Linked DNA regions of Canis lupus familiaris. The protein of the gene in region 2 purifies or fractionates together with the protein of the main gene of each other region. This does not show direct contact. Links are inferred from orthologs where the notes say so. Each region holds a gene or a part of one and is shown on either strand. Other genes may lie near its edges.

What was found. Proteins that work in one complex are often made in the same cells at the same time.
Region 1: the proteins of DOCK1 (region 2) and ELMO1 purify together in Homo sapiens (affinity purification with western blotting; 12 studies listed by BioGRID and IntAct, counting the BioPlex papers as one, with this or other methods). This does not show direct contact. The link is inferred for Canis lupus familiaris from reciprocal best matches to the Homo sapiens genes DOCK1 and ELMO1.

What each region holds. Positions count from the first base shown.
Region 1 is NC_049235.1:48,789,712-48,794,455, reverse strand, and holds the start of ELMO1 (engulfment and cell motility protein 1), read left to right. Parts: upstream 1-1,566; 5' UTR 1,567-1,603; coding exon 1,604-1,692; intron 1,693-4,744. UniProt on the Homo sapiens protein: Involved in cytoskeletal rearrangements required for phagocytosis of apoptotic cells and cell motility. Acts in association with DOCK1 and CRK. Was initially proposed to be required in complex with DOCK1 to activate Rac Rho small GTPases.
Region 2 is NC_049249.1:36,264,037-36,268,526, forward strand, and holds the start of DOCK1 (dedicator of cytokinesis protein 1), read left to right. Parts: upstream 1-1,307; 5' UTR 1,308-1,411; coding exon 1,412-1,457; intron 1,458-2,100; exon of another isoform or gene 2,101-2,509; intron 2,510-2,885; exon of another isoform or gene 2,886-2,984; intron 2,985-3,191; exon of another isoform or gene 3,192-4,490. UniProt on the Homo sapiens protein: Involved in cytoskeletal rearrangements required for phagocytosis of apoptotic cells and cell motility. Along with DOCK1, mediates CRK/CRKL regulation of epithelial and endothelial cell spreading and migration on type IV collagen.

The DNA.
Region 1 (4,744 bases), on a different chromosome or scaffold from region 2:
GTCGGTGGAGCGTGGGACTCTTGATCTCCGGGTCGTGAGTTTGAGCCTCATGTTTGGTGTAGAGATTACTTAAAGAACCTAACTTCTTAAAGAACTAAAATCTTTTTTTTTTAAGATTTTATTTATGTATTCATGAGAATACAGAGAGAGAGAGAGAGAGAGAGGGAGGCAGAGACACAGGCAGAGGGAGAAGCAGGCTCCATGCAGGGAGCCTGACCTGGGACTCGATCCCGGGTCTCCAAGATCAGGCCCTGGGCTGAAGGTGGTGCTAAACCACTGAGCCACCTGGGTTGCCCAAGAACTAAAATCTTAAAAACATTTAAGAATGTAAAAAGAAAATAGTGAAAATATTCTAAATTATATATATGTTGTATATATTTACACTATATATATTTTATTTGTATATACATTTTACATATATATATTATATATATGTATTTTTTAACCTAATAAAATAACCCAGTGGACTGATCACATCTTACACTATTAGCATTTGTTGAAATGCTATAATCAGCATAAAAGTTTCTAACAAGCTATTTTACATTCTGTTTTTCATACAAAGTCCGGTGTCTGTTTTCCACTTCCAGAACATCTCAGGGCGAGCCACATTTGGAGTGTTCAATAGTTGCTTGGGGCTCTTGGCTGCCAGCACAGGGGAGGGGGTGGGACTGCAATTTAAGCAGGAGTTTTACCCTCCACCTTAGAGGCCAATGCCTCCCTGCTCCCGGGTTACCAACTTGGCCAGTTTGAAGGGAATGCATTAGTAACCGCCTTTGTCTTTTCGGGTAGATAGCTATTTTTTTCTTTTTGAATTTGTTAAGGACAGGTGTTTCTCCTGCAACCTTCCAACCACTGTCACTTGCCTCCTTGGCAGCTAGGCTGGGAGTTAGTATTTTTTGATTCTTTGCTTTGAAAAATCACTGGAGTGGGTCGCATTAGACAGTGCACCCCCAATACCGAGCTGGGGAGGGTAGAACGTCTCGCTTCGTGAAAAGTCATGCCAAGTTAGGGAGTCCTTGGGGTCACTGATGAGAACTGCAGGGCGCACATGCCTCGGGGGCTCCAACAGAGAGCAGCAGAGGTTGGGTTACCCTCGCCAGGCCGCTCCGGGGTAAGCCCAAACGCCTTTTAAAGTCGCTTTAAAACAACCCGCCTAAGTCTCCCCCCCCACCCCCTCGAAATTGCATGCCAGCTGCCAAAAATGAAAGCATATAAAAAGACGCCACGCGCCCTCGGCCTCCCGGAGGTGGCGCTATGACGGTGACGGAGTTAATTAGTGCCTGCAAAGCGCCGCGTGTGAGCTCATCCGAGAAGTCATGCTCTGCACACATATTATTTATAGCCGATCTGAGGCGTGCACGGTGCTTGACATTTTCCTTATTTTTAAGTAGGGGGACTTCGGAAAGTGGTGGGCGGCCCCGCACCCCGTCCCCGCCGCAGCCCCCCGCCCCGCAGGGCCGAGGCGGCGGCAGCTCCCGGGGCGCGCGGGCGGGGACAGCGCCAACCCCGCGAGTCCCGCGCAGGTGCCGGGGGCGGCGGCGGCCCCTCGGCAGGGCCGCCCGCCCGGGAGGGGACTCGGCGGCCGCCCGCGGGATGCCTGCAGATGCACAATGTGTCTCCGGCCAGCAGGAGGGAGGAAGAGGAAGTGAGAGCAGCGGCGGCCGGCGGCGCGGCGGCCGGCGGGGCCCCAGGGTGAGTGCGTGTGCGCGGCCGGGGATGGGCACGGGGTAGAGGCAGAGCCGCCCCCCCCCCCCCCCCCGCCGCGGCCCCGAGCCGCCGGACCCAGCCTCGGGCCCCCTCCGCGGCCGCGGGGCGCCGCCGCCGCCGCCGCCGTCCTGCGACCCCCGGGCAGGTTCGTAAAGTTTCCTGCGCTGGCGCCGCGCCCCGACTCGCTGACCTCGGCGCGGCCGGGGCGGGGGCCGGGGCTCGGCGGGGGGCTCGCGAGGGGGCGCCCTGCCCCGGGGCCGGGGGGCGCCCCGGGCGCCGCGGAGACACTTTTGCCCGCGCCCCCGCTCCCCCGGGGCGCCGCGGCTGGAGCCGGGGGCGGCTGCGTGCGCTCGGGGCGCTCCGCACTCGGGGAAGTCTGGGCAGCGCCCGGCGGCCGCTGCGGGAGCGGGAGAGGGAGCGGGAGCGGGAGCCCGAGCCGGGCAGGGGCGCCGGGAGGGGCGCCGGGGAGGGGGGCCGGCGGCTCGGACCCCGGCTTCTGCTCCCGCACCCGCGGGTGGGAGGGAAGCCCTCGGCGAGCGCGCCCCGGGGAGGGGACAGCGATGGGGACGGGCAGGGGGCGCGCTTGGGGCGCCCGGGACCCTCGGGGGAGACGGCGGGTCCCCGCCGCCTGGGGACGCGCCTGGGGACGCCGCTGGGACCGCGAGGACGGCGGGGAGGGGGCCCCGAAGGGCGGTCGCGGCTCGGGAGGGGGCGCAGCGGGCGGCCCTGCACGGTGGCGGCAGCGGGGCGCGGCCCGGGTCCCCGCCGCGGGGGGCGGCCAGGTGGCGGGTGGCTCCGAGGGAGGGAGACGCGCACGGCGGCGGCCCGGGGCGCGCGGGGGGCCGGGGCCGGGGAGCCCGAGCGGGTCGCGGGCGCGCGCGAGGGCGGGGAGCGTGGGAGCCCGCGGGCGCAGGCGGGGCGCGGGGGGCTCGGGGCGCGGGGGGCTCGGGGCGCGGGGCGCGGGCTGCCCGCCGAGTGGCCCCCGGTGCCGCCTCCCGCCCGGGGCCGCTTCAAGTCGGCGGCGGCGGGCGGGGGTCGCTGGCGGTGCGGCGGGCGGGCGCGCGGGGCCCGGCCGGGGCCCCTGGACAGCTCCCGGCTCCCGGCTCCCGGCCCCAGGAGGGTGCGCCCCGGCCCGCTGCATCCAAGGTTTCCAGAGGCGCCAAGACTAGGTTTCGCGCCCCGGGAGGCAGAGGCCGCAGGTCCTGGCTTGGGGGGGCTGGGAGGTGGGGGGCACCGGAAGACTTCAGGAGTGTTGCCGGCGTGGTTTTTTTTTTTTTTTCTTTCTTTTGTTTCTGAAATAAAAGTAACTGATGATGTGTATTTAGGCATGGACTCTCTGAGGGGTAACTTTAAGAACCCCAGGAGGGACCTAACCCTACTCAGGTTCACTTTTAGATCAAAAAGCCGGCAGCTCATCCCGCCAAGTGCCCCCCACCCCCCTCAGTGCCCAGCACTTGGCGGGATGAGCACTGGGTGTCATGCTATATGTTGGCAAATTGAACTCCAATTTAAAAAAAAAAAAAAATTTTTTTTTTTTTTTTAAAGAAAGGTAACAGTAACACAAAAATAAGAGGAAAATCTCTATAAGGGATGCCCGGGGGGCTCTGCAGTTGAGCACCTGCCTTTGGCTCAGGGAGTGACCCCGGAGTCTCAGGATGGAGTCCTGCATCAGGCTCCCTGCAGGGAGCTTGCTTCTCCCTCTGCCTGTGTCTCTGCCTCTCTCTGTGTGTCTCTCATGAATAAATAAATAAAATCTTAAGGAAAAAAAAAAAAAAAGCCAGACAGCAGCTCTTAGTAAGGGCCTCTTCTGGTCATGTTTTTCCTGTCTCCCCTCCATACCTACTTCCCAAGGTTATTTCAAGGATTATTGTCCCTCAGTTTACAGAACCTCGAAGCCCGGATGCCCTGCTGTCATGTGGCGGACTTTATTTTTTACAGTTGCCCTTCTGAACCCCTGCTCCGGACTAGGGTACATTTCCTCTCTCTGGAGGGCTGTGGTTAAATGTTGCCTTTTTTCCTACTGAATCTATTACTCAGATTTTTTTTTTTTTAATTAGATGGACTGGTTGTCTAATGGGGAAACTGTGAGGGAATGACCAGGAGTGTTGAAAGTCTGCAGGGGGATGGGGTCAGGAGGGAAGGGAACTGGGGGAGCAGCTTGGTGGATATCAGGGAAGGGGCCGTTGCAGGCCCAGGCCTGAGTCTTGTGGAATTCAGGTGCAGGCACTGGACTACGGGATGGGTGGTGCCATGAATGGTCCTATCTCCACCCCCCCTCCCCCATGTCTCATCTTCCTGCTGTTTTTAAATAAAATATTTATTTATTTTAGAAAAAGAGAGAGAGAGAGAGAGAATCTCAAGCAGACTCCCTGCTGAGGTGGGGCTCCATCCATCCCACAACCCTGAGACCATGACCTGAGCCAAAACCAAGTCAGCCACTTAACCACTTAACCGACTGGGCTGCCCAGGTGTCTCTCCTGCTTTTAACTGCAGCCATTCTGACCACCTTACATTCTTCTTCACCAAGTTCTCTCCCCAGAGCCTTTGAATATGTTACTCCTTTTGCACAAAGCATGTTTCCCCGCATTTCCAGATAGCTCACTCCCTTGTTCACTTCAGGTCTCTCTGCCCAATTGTCAGCTTACAGGCAGCCTTTCCTTATTAATTAATTAATTTATTTATTTAAAGATGTTATTTATTTGACAGAGAACCAGAGAAAAAGCATGAGCAGGAGAAGGGGCAGAAGGAGAAGCAGGTTCCCTGCTGAGCAGGGAGCCTGATTAAGGGCTCTATCCTAGGACCCTGGGATCATGACTAGTGCTGAAGGCAGATGCTTAATTGACTGAATCACCCAGGTGTCCCACAGGCGGCCTTTCCTGATTATCTCCTGTGAAATAGCAACCAGCCCCCCCTCTGGTCCTCTTAAGCTACTCAGTTTTCCTGCTGAGCACTTTTCACCCCCTGGCACATTATATATTCATTTATTTATTTGATTATGTCTGTTCCTCCCATTAGAATGAAAGTTCCATGAGCGCAG
Region 2 (4,490 bases):
TGAGCCACCCAGGCGCCCCTGTTTGAAGTTTTTCCTTGGAGAAGTGTGAAGCCCCATTATTTATTGGTGTGGACACGGCCAGGGTGTGAGAACCCGCCTGCAGGGTGAAGGCCCCTTTCCCCAGAGCCCCTGCGCGTCTGCTCTGGCTCCTCTCCCGCTTCCTCAGTTTCCCTCCTGCACACACTCGCACTCGTGTCTGCGAGCCCAAGGAGGACGGGGTCGCTGGGCCTCGGCGGGGCTTCTCTGGGTCACTGCCCTCATTCCACACGCAAGCGAGGGGTCACCTCCCTGGGAAGCCCCCGCGACCAGCCTCGCGCCCCCCTTCCCGCCCCGAGCTCGGAGCTCCCCTTCCCACCCGCGGCTCCTCCGCGCCTCCTCCTCCCCCAACGGGCAGGTGCTCACTCTGAGTTCAGAGTGGGGGGACCCTGTGCGCCGCTCCGGGAGGCCCCCCTCGCGGTCCCCGTGCCCGTGCGGGGAGGACCCCAAGCCCCGCAGATCGCCCCCTTGTCGCTGCCCCCCCCACCCCCCCACCCCGCCCAGGGCGCCCCCCTGTCGTGCTGGGACCGCCTGGCCCCCAGGAGGCCTCCGGGACCCGGGGTGCCCGCGGGTCGGGGTCGACGTACCCGTGGGTCGGGGTGCGGGTCCCCGTGGGTCGGGGTGGGGGTCGGGGTCCCTGCGGGTCGGGTCGAGGTGGGGGTCGGGGTGGGGGTCCCCGCGGGTCGGGGCGGGGGGTCCCCGCGGGTCGGGGCCGGGGTGGGGGTGGGGTCGGGGGGTCCCAGCGGGTCGGGGTGGTGGTCGGTGTCGAGGTCCCCGCGGGTCGGGGTCGGGGTGGGGGTCGGGGTGGAGGTCCCCGCGGGTCGGGGTGGGGGTCGGGGCTGGGGGTCTCCGCGGGTCGGGGTCCGAGTGGGGTTGGGGTCGGGGCGGTCCCCGCGGTCGGGGTCGGGTCGGGGGGTCCCCGCGGTCGGGGTGGGGGCGGGGTCGGGGTCGGGTCGGGGGGTCCCCGCGGTCGGGGTCGGGTCGGGGGGTCCCCGCGGTCGGGGTGGGGGCGGGGGCGGGGTCGGGTCGGGGGGTCCCCGCGGTCGGGGTCGGGTCGGGGGGTCCCCGCGGTCGGGGTCGGGGTGGGGGCGGGGGGTCCCCGCGGTCGGGGTCGGGGCGGGGGGTCCCCGCGGTCGGGGTCGGGGTCGGGTCGGGGGGTCCCCGCGCAGGGCCGGGGCTCGGGGCCGCAGCCCGGCCGCCTCCCGCGGGCGCTCCCGGCCGTTCCCATCCGGCCCGCGACGCCCCGCCCGCCCCGTCCCACATGACGCCGCCTCCGCCGCAAACTTTTTCCTCCCATCCTGGGGCGGCTCGGAGGGAATGGAAGATGGCGGCCTAGGCGCGGAGTTTCCTGCCGGGCGGCGGCTGCGGCGGCGCCATGACGCGCTGGGTGCCCACCAAGCGGGAGGAGAAATACGGCGTCGGTGAGCGGGGGCGGGGGCGGGGGCGGCGGCGGGGGCGGGGGGGGCGCCCCGAGCGGCTGCCGGCGGCCCCAGAGCGCGGGAGGCGGCCGGGACACGCGCCCCGGTCCCCCCGGTCCCCCCGGTCCCCCCGGTCCCCCCGGTCTCCCCCGTCCCCCCGGCCCCCCGGCCCCGCGCACCGGCCGGCGGCGCAGCCCTGCAGCCTCGGGGCCCCGCGGGGCGCGCTCGCACCCCCCGCCCGGCCGCATCCTTGGGGGGCTCTGCGGGGCTGCGCCCGAGGGCTCGCTCGGGGAGGGCGGCGGCTGCAAGCGGCGGGCGGGGGGGGGGGGGCGGGAGCTGCGGGCCCGCGGCGGGACAGCCTGGGGTCGCCGCCCTCTGGGGTCCCCGCAGCGCCGGGGCAGTCGGGCGGCGGGTCGCGGGGGAGCGAGCGAGGCCGCCCCGACGGCGCCCTCCCCCTCCCCCCCCCCCCCCCCCCCCCCCCCCCCCCCCCCCCCCCCCCCCCGGGGGCTGCCCCCCCCCCCCCCACGCCTGACTTTGGTGACCTCGGTCCCTCCCGGGGCCCCTGTCGCCCGCTCCCGGGGTGCCAGGCCTGGCCCCACAGCTGGGCTGCTCCGACCTGGGGAAGCCTCCGGGCGGCCCTGGCCCTCGGGGCCCTCAGTGACCGGCTTGTCCCCACCCCCAGCTGTGGACAGTGCCGCGGTGGGCCCCGATCCACCTGCTCCACCTGCGGGGCCGCGGGAGGGGAGGGGAGGGGGCCCTCCGCCTCGCTCCAGGGACCCCTGCGGCCGGGCTCTCTTCCCTCCCCGTTTGTAGCGACGAGGAGGCGGAGGCTCAGACAGGGGCACAGAGGTCAGCGGCACAGGTGGCCTTTAGGGCTCCGAGTGTGTAAGCAGCGCCCTGGGTGCCTCCGTGTGGCTTCGTCTCAGCCGTCCTGATAGACACGTCGGGTCCCTCTGCAGCTCACGGAGGAGGTGTGGGGTGCACATTCTGTCCGTCCAGGACTGCTTCAAGGTGTGGTGGCCCTGGGGGTCCCCGCCGTGGAGAGCTCGCCGGAGGTGTGTGAGGAGTGAGCCGAGGACGGGGACACGGCAGGGACAGGTGGAGGGGGGCCTGGAGTGCAGGGGCAGGGAGCAGAGGAGCCCGACCGCAGACAGCCCTGTGGAGGAGGCAGGCAGCAGCTCTAGCTCTGGCCAAGGGCTTGCCTCCCCCCTCCCTGTGCACTGGGACACTGCAAGTGTCAAGTGTCAAGTGCCACTCCCACTTGACAGGGGCAGAGAGAAACTCCAGTGTTCACACCTCTGCTGAGTGCTACTTCTGGGATGGGACTCTGGCTGGGGAACTTAGGCCATCGCACGGAGGCCAGGAGATGGGGAGGGGCTTCTCCCTGGAGCACAACATTTTTGATACCTGACACCTTTCCTTGGCTCCCAGGGTGACCTGCTGGTGTCAGGGAGGACACTGTAGGTGTGGCACCTGTTGAGCTGCATGACTGTCCCGTGGAGAGGACCAAAGGGAGCACCCCGTGACAGAGTGAGCGGGGTCTCCTTGCTGGGGAGGTGACCCTGGGCAAGAACATGGCTGTGTCCCCTCCCCACGAACCTCCTCCCACAACTTCCAGAAGTTTCGCTAGCATTCACTGTGGTGACTTCTGACATCACACCTTTGGCTAATTGTGGTTTTAAGAAAAGTCTGTGCTGGAAAGTTTCCAAAGGACAGCGTCCTGGATGGTTTTGCCAGGCAATGCGAGGAACCAGGTGCGCACGGCAGTCTGGTGGAGGAGAGAGTGGCCCGCTAGGCTTGGTTTCACCAGGGCAGAGCCCAGGCAGCCGAAGGCGCTAGAAGGCCCTAGAAGGGACAGGACAGCACAGCACAGCGTGTTCAGCATCAGAAGGAGCTTTCAGTGACCAGAGTCCCGTCAGGCAACTCCTGATTCTGGGCAGAAGGCAAGGCGAGCGAGGATGCGCACATCCGGGTCAGCCCAAGCTCTTCACTGTTCTGGGAGTTGGCACTGGGGGGTCCCATTGGTTCGCCGGAAGGGAAGCCAGCAGTGCTGGGGGGCAGGGATTCATTCGCATTAGCTAACAGGCTGTTTCCGCCCAAGGGAAAAGTACTGGCCATCCCCCTTACCAACCACAGCGTTTTTTGGGGGAGCCTAACAACAGGGCTGTGTTTCCTCCGAGGGCTGTGGCGGGTCGTGGGTGGGCCTTGCTTCCACTCCGGCCACTGGATTGGCGGCATGAATGAATCACGAGGGGAAAGAAAATGATAAAACTCCATCTCATTTGGAAACATGAATCACAGCTCATTGTTTGCATGTACTTGGAATCTGTCAGAAGCATTGTTTGTAAATGAGACACTTTATTTTTTTGCAAAATGGGGAAAAGAGTAAACAGCTGATCTGTTGCTTCCTCAGCAAGGCAGGAAGTGCTGGTCTCTCCCCAGGCCCCCCATTTATTCCAGTGTGGGTTGGGGTTGCCCCCAGGAAATTTTCCAGCCTGTTAATGTCTCCCCCTGGGCTTGAGTTGAGTGGGTCAGTGTTTACAGATTTGGTTAATTAACACAGGGAGGAATTTTGACTTGCCTTCACGGGAGTGCGGTGGTGGTGGTGGGGGGAAGCTTGGCACAGGTGAACTTTTCCATCATCCCCCAGCTAGGCAGAGTCTGAGGTCTCAACGCTAATAAAACTATTATTGGTCCTGTTCCTAAAATGAGGTAAAAAGATGCAGTGTGTTTTAGAGTCACACCTGAGAATGGTGCGCTCACCTCTCTTGGTGTGAAGGTCAGAATAACGGCCCTCAAAATGTCCATGCCCTAACCCCCAGACCGCGTAAATGCGTTCTGTGACATGGCCGAAAGGGCTTTGCAGATGGGGTTAACGTAATGAAACAGAGTTGGAGAGATGACGTTGCATTAGCTACATGGGCCCCCAAAGCAGAGAACTTTTCTCTGGCTGGTCACAGAAGAGTGGATTAAGAGGTTCCAAGCCTGGGCAGGGTCCCACGCAAGGTTGCTGGCCCTGAGATGTAAGAGCTTGCT